Daphnia pulex: one gene and its partner. The protein of the gene in region 1 purifies or fractionates together with the protein of each later gene. This does not show direct contact. Links are inferred from orthologs where the notes say so. Each region holds a gene or a part of one and is shown in the gene's direction. Other genes may lie near its edges.

Region 1 (4,094 bases):
TTTGCCTTCTCACCCATTGCGGCAATAGCCTTTTCAATGTCAGCATAGTTCATAGAATCTAGATTACGTAGAACAGGCACCACCAAACCCTTCAAATTTAAAACAAAAAAATTTATTAATAATTTAACTCTTAATGCTAAACTGTAGCAGAATTACTTTTGGTGTGGCAACCGCCACAGATATGTCGATGTAATCGCGATAGACGATTTCATTTCCGTCGATGACGGCATTGACAGTAGGTTGATCAGCAAGGGCGCAAGCCGCGGCCTTGACGAAAGCTGACATGAAACCCAACTTGATTTTGTGAACTTTCAAGAAGGCGTCACCGTGTGTTTTTCTCAGCTCCATGATGTTGCTGTGAATTTAAACGAAATACGTTAATCCACCTATGGCATCAAGAGACAATGGCATACTACCTCATATCAATTTCGTTAAAAGTTGTCAACATAGCGTTGACATTTTGGGCTTCCTTCAGCCGCTGAGCAATACGCAGTCGCATGCGGTTCATTTTAACGCGTTGTTCGGTTCTTGTGCCAGTAATTTCCTTGCTATAATCTGCAGGTGGAAGACGGGCTAGGGGAACAGCCTAGAGATAAGAAAAAATTAAGAAAAAGGTTAAAATGATGGGGGAATGACATTTAATTCGTACTTGGGACGTCTGCGTAACGTTAACAGGAGCAGCAACCCGAGGTTGGATGCTTGCTGCTGGGATGGCAGAAATAGGGGTTGTTGGAGGGGATGGGCGAGGAGGAGGTGTTGATGGGATCGCACCAGAAACAGGTTGGGCGGCAGGGGTAGGCGGTGGAGGAGCAGGAGCAGCTGGTGAAGGTGTTGGAGGAGCAGCAGCAGCAGCAGCAGCGGGAGCAGCAGCTTTGGCAGCACCTCCTAGATTAAGAAACGGTTTAAATTTATTTTAAAAATGTAGAAATTTTCTGGTAGCATAATAGTTACCTGCACTCATAATAAAGAGTTTAGCTCCGGGTTGAACAGTAGCACCATCACTAACGCACAACTCAGTAATGACCCCACTGCAAGGGGCTTTAACCGGGATCGATGTTTTGTCCGTTTCAATATGGCATACTTCTTCATCTTCTTGGACTGTATCACCAACAGCTAAAGAAAACAAAAACATTCTATGAAAAACACCATAAGATCCACAGGTGCAAGTCTATCAAGTTGAAAAAAAAGGACGCAAAATGATTTGAAATCTTTGACTTGAAAATACTGAAATTAAGCTTCAAGATTGACATTTTCACTCAAAGATCATTTCTGTGCTACTAATACAGTTGTACCAATACTCTCTGGAAGAAGCATACCTTTATCCCATCTTACATCACCCTCACTGATGGAGTCTGCAAATGGTGGTACCATCACAGTTTTCGCATCTCCTAAAAAAAGTATTTTTTTATTATTATGACTATTTATTGCCATTTGGAACTAGTGAATTTCACCTAGTACTGCAGAAGTTCTGAATCCTCGACTGAAAACTGTGATTGGATTCCATTGGCACCTCACATCATTTCGCTGTTGGATGGACAGGTAGCTAGGCTCTTGAATACCAATTTCACATGTTTCCTGAGATAAAAAACAAATAAGAAGAAATATCATTAAATTAATTGTAAGATGAAAGTAACCAACAGGATGTGGCAAAATCATCCAAGGTACAAGGAACTTCATTGACACATTTTTATTTTATTATTTACTCTTATATAAACATGTATAACCTGATGTTTGAAACAAGCCGAAACTCTGAAATTGCCACGAAATACTTTTGCAATTTGCTTCGAAGAGCCTAGGGAGAGACGTAGAGCAGCCATGATTTTTCTGTTCGACTTCGGCTGATCTTGATGTTAGTTGCGAATGAAATTTGACTTTGCTGGTTAACTTTAAAAACAATATAAAAACTCTCCTTCAAAATTTTAAATTAAAATTTTAGAATTAAAAACGTTATTTTATCTTCGTGTATGAATAAACCGGGAATTAAGAATTTTATGACGAGTTTTTCAAAATAAAAGTAAAATGCAACTGTGGTTGTGCTTTTTTTCGTCTGAATTCGTTTCGTTTTCGTATTGTTACGTGATATTTCTGCTAAACAATAACAATGTTTTATGCGGCATTAGTAAACCGGTTAACCAGATTCCCATCACATATTTCGGCATTCTCATCTTTAAACAATGCTGTTCAAATGGATACCGTACAAGGATCTATAAAGATGACGGATAAGTGCGTCCAACGATTGAAGGAACTGCATAAAAAATCCCCAGAGAAAACGCTTCGGATATCGGTAGAAGGAGGAGGATGTTCGGGATTTCAGTACTTGTTTAATTTGGACACCACGGCAAATGAAGATGACTGGTTTGTACTTAAAAACTAAACTAAATCAACATAATTTTTGACAGTTTTCATTAAAACAGTGTGGTTGAAAGAGATGGTGCGAGAGTCTTTATTGACAAAGATTCCATGCAATACCTTGAAGGAGCAACAATTGATTTCCAGTCTGAGTTGATCCGCTCTGCCTTCCACATATTGAAGAACCCCAAAGCTGAAAGTGGTTGTTCATGTGGTGCTTCATTTTCTCTCAAAGTTTGATTTAAAAATCTATTCAAAGCAGTGTTTTTGTCAAATTGCTGTGTAATTAGTTGTACATAATATGGGGTGAATGTAACAACAACCAATTGCAAAATAGAGACCCAATGCAATCACCCCTTTTCACTTAGTCATGAGACCCAATTTCTTTGCTTCTAATTCATAGATCAATAAGCGCCACATCTTGACAACAAAGACCTCTGCTTCTTCATCAAGTACCTAATAAAAATAAAATTGTTAAAATAGGAATTACATTTTAGAATTTATAGAAATTAAGACCTTACCATCTGAACATCATTGATGATATTTTGTGGTTGGCTTCCTATCAATACTTTGGAACAAATGAATTCAACTAGAGTAGGCTCGGGCTCTCCGATGTACTCCACGATCTTTTTATTGACCCACGGTTTAATCCGCCGCTCCATTATCACCTATGGAGAAAATAAAACAAGAATTTAAGTGGTTATTCGACAACGCGTACTTGTTCATTGTTTACATTGTCCACTAAGCTCCACTCAACAGGATGAGCAAAGAGGGATGCTTTATCCGTTGGAATTTTCTCGATAAGACTCTTGATATTTTTTCTCTTCTCCTCTGTGTTCTTGGGCTCTTTTTCCTTTTTAGCAAGTTCATCGCCATAGTCTATTGGAAAAGAAATTAATTAAAACAGAAATGTTACGGAAAAGAAAATATCTGATTATGTTACCAAGAGGTACAAGTTTCCGTTTCTTCTTGGTCGTGTCTGTATCGTCTTCATCAGCATTGAAAACGGCTTTGATTTCCAGCTTTTTCCGCTTATTGAATACTAAACTGGGTCCCTGTGATCCTGTAATACAGAAAGAGAAACAATTAGTTATACATATGTTGGTTGGGCAATCGATGGCCAATTATCGTACCTTGTTTGCTGTCACTTTCAGTTGGAAGAGGACTTAAGGAATTCGTTGTTGACATGGAATCCTCTTCCATGGCAATGACACTGCTCGCAACACTAGAGCTAATTGTTTTAGGTTCTGGTCCGGTTGGAGTGGATGGAGCTGATGAGACGGGCGTGGTGGAATTGACATCTTTCGTCAACTGGAAATCTTCCACGTCCGATGGTTGTGATGGTAGAGACACGTCCATGGGAGAGAAAGAGCGGGGAGCATCACTAACAGGAGGTGCTGGCACGAGTATCTGAGGCTTGTACTGTTGTTCCCTTTCGTAAAGAGCCTAGGAAAATTCAGAAGAGGTTTTACATCATACATTCGTGAAACTTTGAGCTTTCCCTCTCTTACCTGTTTAAGAGTTGCTGTTGGATCTGAGTGGCCCTCAGAGAAAATTTTCGTCTTGAGTTCCTCGAGCTCTTCCTTCTCCTTTTGACGGTCACGTGTGTCTGATTCCGTTTCTCTCTCACGCTCTGTTCGCCGGCGCTCCATTTCACGGCCTCTGCGCAATTCCAAGAAAGAAACATTAGGCTGATTCAATAAAGAAAATGAGATGGAGGACAAAATTTACTTATAGTATTTTGC
Region 2 (4,194 bases), on another chromosome or scaffold:
CTTTCTCCACGTGCCCGACTGATGGATGAGAAAATAATGATGATTAGTATTATTATTATGAAGACAAAAAACGTGAAAAAATATACATGGCAACAACAACTCACATTAACTGGTGAGCTGATGGGCGTGGGTACGGGAGCCGGGGACCGATTGATGGTCGTGTTGGGCAGGACGGGCGTACATCCGGAGGTGGCCTTAATGTTGTCCAAACTGTTGTTGGAACTGTGAGTCGAATTGCCGTGGTGACCGATGAACGTGTTGGTGTCGGCCGAATTGTTGGCCACCGTCCGCTTCTTGTGCGACGTGTTGGACTCGCGTTCGCGATAATTGTAGCGCAAATCGTCAGACTCGAGCGGCTTGGCGAACGACAGCTCCTCCGGATGCCGGATGCCGAGCTCCTTGCACAGCGTCACGACGGCGTTGAACGTCTTGACGCTGAAATCCACCCGGCAATCCAAGTAGCGCAAATCTGGCAGCTGGACGCGCAGCGTTTTGTGCATGGGAGTGAAATGCAGCAGAGCATCCGCCTGGACGCCATACTGATCCAGCGTCGAACGGGTCCTGGACAGCCAACAGTTCCGAGCTGGCCACCAAAGAGCGTGATCCGACCAATCCGCCGCAATATCTAAAAATACGAAAAGAAGATAAGATGTAACAAAATGTGAATATAAAATAGACTGGTGGGGGGTCATAAATTTTGATTATTCCAAAACATCCATCACTGTGATCACGTGATGTTGGGCGTGAAATTACACACACATTCAGGTGGGTGGTGGTGGTGGTGTATATGGGGCGGAAATGAAATGGGTCATGGTGGCCAAAAAAAGGGCGTCGTCCTGAATAATTTCGTTTCTGAAATCAGAGACGTTTGTGGTTGGGTAAAATCATCCGGATGTTACGCCGAACCGCGATATGTGCACATAACACAAGCTGCTGACGGTGTTTCCAACAAACTAACTTTTTTTCAAAAATAAACATTCAAGTGATCCTTGACGTGATGAGAATACCGATCACCAGACTGTGCATTCCAATCGCCCGCCCTATTTCGCTTATAGCCTTTGCCAACGGCGGAATCAAAGAGAGAGGAGTGCAACCTTTCTAGGACTTGTCGGATTTTATTTGATTTTTTAATATATTTATATTCAGAGGGGTTTTTATTTTATTTTTCAAGAGAGATCCATTGTAAGAGAGAGTGACGCGAGGGGAGGCTATTTTTAAATGCCGCCTTTTTTCTTTCCTGTCTGCGCTAGACTGGGCCGACAGAGGGAGCACTAGTAGCTGCTAGTGGGCGACCAAGAACTCATTTCAGATGTGGACAAGATGGCTCCCCCCATAATGTCTTTTAAATGCAAGCAAACAGACGCCTGGGAAATTGGGGCGTGATGATGTCAGCCTCGCAGTTGAATCCCCAAATATGGGCAAACAAGGACAACAAATAATTGCATACCTAATTCCTCGACGAGACGCAGCATAACACCACCAATGTGCAGGTCACCTTTGACCCGGAGACATCGCTCGACCGACAAGTCAGTCACCAACACCTTCAATTCCCAGCTCCCGTCACCGACCAAATGTCCGTCGGCAATCATCTTGAATTTTTCTTCTCTCTCTCTCTCACAAGGCAGCAGCAGAGCACCTGTAGCTTAGAGCACCAAACAATAATTTCCAAGAGAGAGGCGATGCCCGTCCGTGACCAAACATGGGCAACACAAACGGGGCAACCCACACACACACACAACTCTTTTCTCCTTTCCAACACCAAACACACACACACACACTCAAATAGTTCGATGGCTTTTTCAGACAGAATGAACAGTTCCAAAATTGTTCAATCACTAGTTGACATCTTGACGCAGTCGAGGTGATCACTTATTCAGGGGGCGAATCAACCCTTGTGTGTGAATAGTGTTGGAATATAAACAGATGGCCGTAAGACCAAGTCGACGTTTCATCCAGACTCGGTATGAGAGAGTCGTGTAACTAACGCCTTGGTACCCTAAAATCCCACTTCCAGATCTAAACAATCGATTCAAACTTTTAATCGATCACGAAACGTAAAAAAAAGTGAATCAAAATAATATAATAGTTTGTTGAGAGCTTACATTCATACTTACTGCCTTGAATTCCATTCCATTATAATCTCAATATCGCACTGATGAAAGCAATCTCGATCTCCTGATAAACAAAAATAAAAAACCTTGGACTAGATCGACTAGATTAGGAGATTTTCTAACATTTTCAAGCACCGTCAGATGGCGCTGGAGTTCCTACATTTTAGTTGTAAACAAATCGAATCGACCACGACTTGCTCAACAATCGAGCTCAATCTCTCTCTGCAAGGTACGATAACAATTTTAACTCCCCTTCTACCAAAAGTTTCGTCCATGTGGCGGTCTATTCAAGCAGTTGCTCTGAGATCGGTGGCCGCTAGTTCGGTTCGACGCGTTCACCAGAAATGCACAGTAAACGCACAGGAACTCAAAGGAAGGGCAATCGTCAAAGTTTCTGGAGTGGATGCCGGTCCGTACCTTCAGGGTCTTATGACAAACGATATCAAACACTTGGACGAAGATAACAATCCCAACATGTACTGCATGTTCCTCAACCGGCAGGGAAGAATACTTTACGATGCCATCATCCACTCTTCAAAAGAATCTGGCAGCTACCTGATTGAATGTGATGCAGAGTGCTCGGAATCTCTAGCAAAACACCTCACCATGTTCAGAGTCAGAAGGAAGGTGGTTATCTCTGTAGAGGAAACACTGAAGCCTTGGGTTCTCTTTGATCAGCCCCCCGAAGATCTCAGTAATGAAGTCATTTTAGCCCGAGATCCCAGAGTCAAGGAACTGGGATGGCGAGTGTTGGTTGATTCCAACAAAAGTCTAAGTCACCTAATAAAGAATCTCTGCGTGGACAACACTGATCGATACACTGAACTCAGATATAAACTTGGTGTGGGAGAAGGCTCTCGAGATATGCCACCCGGCACATGTTTCCCACTCGAATGTAATTGCGACTACCTGCACGGCGTCAGCTTCCATAAAGGGTGCTACTTGGGACAGGAACTTACGGCCAGGACTTACCACACGGGTGTAACCAGAAAACGTTTGATGCCGGTTGTCTTCCAACAGCCTTCCGATTCCATCCAGTTAGAATCGACCATTTCTGATGAAAACGGACAACGGGTGGGAAAACTACGAGGATATCTTCACGGATCAGTTTACGGTCTCGGCCTCTTGCGGATACAACAAGCCCTCTCTTCTTCTCAATTGAAAATCGACTCGAATCTAATCGAAACCCACCGACCGGCTTGGTGGCCCATTGAAGCGCCCAAAGATCGCGCCCAACTTGAATCTAGCTCTTAAAATAAAAAGACTACCCCCACAATAGATACATTTTACATGTGTTTGGCATTTCAATTTGTTACAATACAATGTTTTTCTCTGTTCCACTTTTGATTTTTCACTTATCCTTAGATGGACAGGATTGATCCAGTGGTGAAGCAGGAACCGACTGAAGAACTTGGTGAAATCGTGAAACCCAAGGAAGAAAAGAAAGCAGAACAAATCGAAGAAGGTGGTCAATTTCAGTGTGCCTTGTGCGGCTGGTCAGAGCGTTACCACGGTCACGGCACAAGTCTTCCTTTCGCCCGCGGAATAAACTTCAACGAGGACGCATACGTCATGCGAGATCCATTTGTTCCATACGCCCAAAATCTCTATTTCTTCCTTGGAGCTCCCTGCTCAGCATGCCAACGACTAGTTTGCGCCAATTGCAGCCTGTTTTATTCTAAACGATTTTGTGGCGAATGCGCCAACAAAAACGTGCAACATTTTCCCGTCGAGGTGCAGAAAAAGATTCACGAATTGAAAACTAATAAAAGCCAATAATTCGAGAAGAGGAAAAACTTCGTTTTTTATTATTATTCTGATTACTTCTTTTTGTTAACGAAAGCCAATTTGGCGGCAATTATTTTCTTCCGCTGCTCCTCCTTATTTCTTTTTACTATTTTGCCAGTTTTGACGACCTACGAAAGAGGAAAAAAGCATTAAAAGACCAATTGTTACTTGAAAATAAAAGACTTGATTTTAGTTTTACCTTGGCACTGTCGTTACCAGTCGTTTCTCCGGCAAACGAATTGACTTTAGCTGGTTTGTGGTACGATTCTTTATTGCGTTTCTTCATTTTGCTGAT

Evidence for each region. Proteins that work in one complex are often made in the same cells at the same time.
Region 2: the proteins of iron-sulfur cluster assembly 2 homolog, mitochondrial-like (region 1) and putative transferase CAF17 homolog, mitochondrial purify together in Homo sapiens (co-immunoprecipitation; 4 studies listed by BioGRID and IntAct, with this or other methods). This does not show direct contact. The link is inferred for Daphnia pulex from reciprocal best matches to the Homo sapiens genes ISCA2 and IBA57.

The regions. Positions count from the first base shown.
Region 1 is NC_060017.1:2,842,189-2,846,282, reverse strand, and holds iron-sulfur cluster assembly 2 homolog, mitochondrial-like, read left to right. Parts: upstream 1-2,046; 5' UTR 2,047-2,101; coding exon 2,102-2,355; intron 2,356-2,414; coding exon 2,415-2,589; 3' UTR 2,590-2,702; downstream 2,703-4,094. Other genes in the region: dihydrolipoyllysine-residue succinyltransferase component of 2-oxoglutarate dehydrogenase complex, mitochondrial-like, read right to left, coding at 1-89, 157-355, 417-586, 650-885, 952-1,113, 1,317-1,388, 1,452-1,575, 1,725-1,817; RNA-binding protein 25-like, read right to left, coding at 2,710-2,805, 2,871-3,017, 3,083-3,228, 3,293-3,412, 3,483-3,795, 3,861-4,011, 4,081-4,094. UniProt on the Homo sapiens protein: Involved in the maturation of mitochondrial 4Fe-4S proteins functioning late in the iron-sulfur cluster assembly pathway. May be involved in the binding of an intermediate of Fe/S cluster assembly.
Region 2 is NC_060028.1:2,206,908-2,211,101, forward strand, and holds putative transferase CAF17 homolog, mitochondrial, read left to right. Parts: upstream 1-2,252; coding exon 2,253-3,365; 3' UTR 3,366-3,448; downstream 3,449-4,194. Other genes in the region: unc-112-related protein-like, read right to left, coding at 1-18, 105-625, 1,448-1,589; cysteine-rich DPF motif domain-containing protein 1-like, read left to right, coding at 3,477-3,890; RNA-binding protein 34-like, read right to left, coding at 3,932-4,027, 4,099-4,194. UniProt on the Homo sapiens protein: Mitochondrial protein involved in the maturation of mitochondrial [4Fe-4S]-proteins in the late stage of the iron-sulfur cluster assembly pathway. Operates in cooperation with ISCA2 in the maturation of [4Fe-4S] proteins.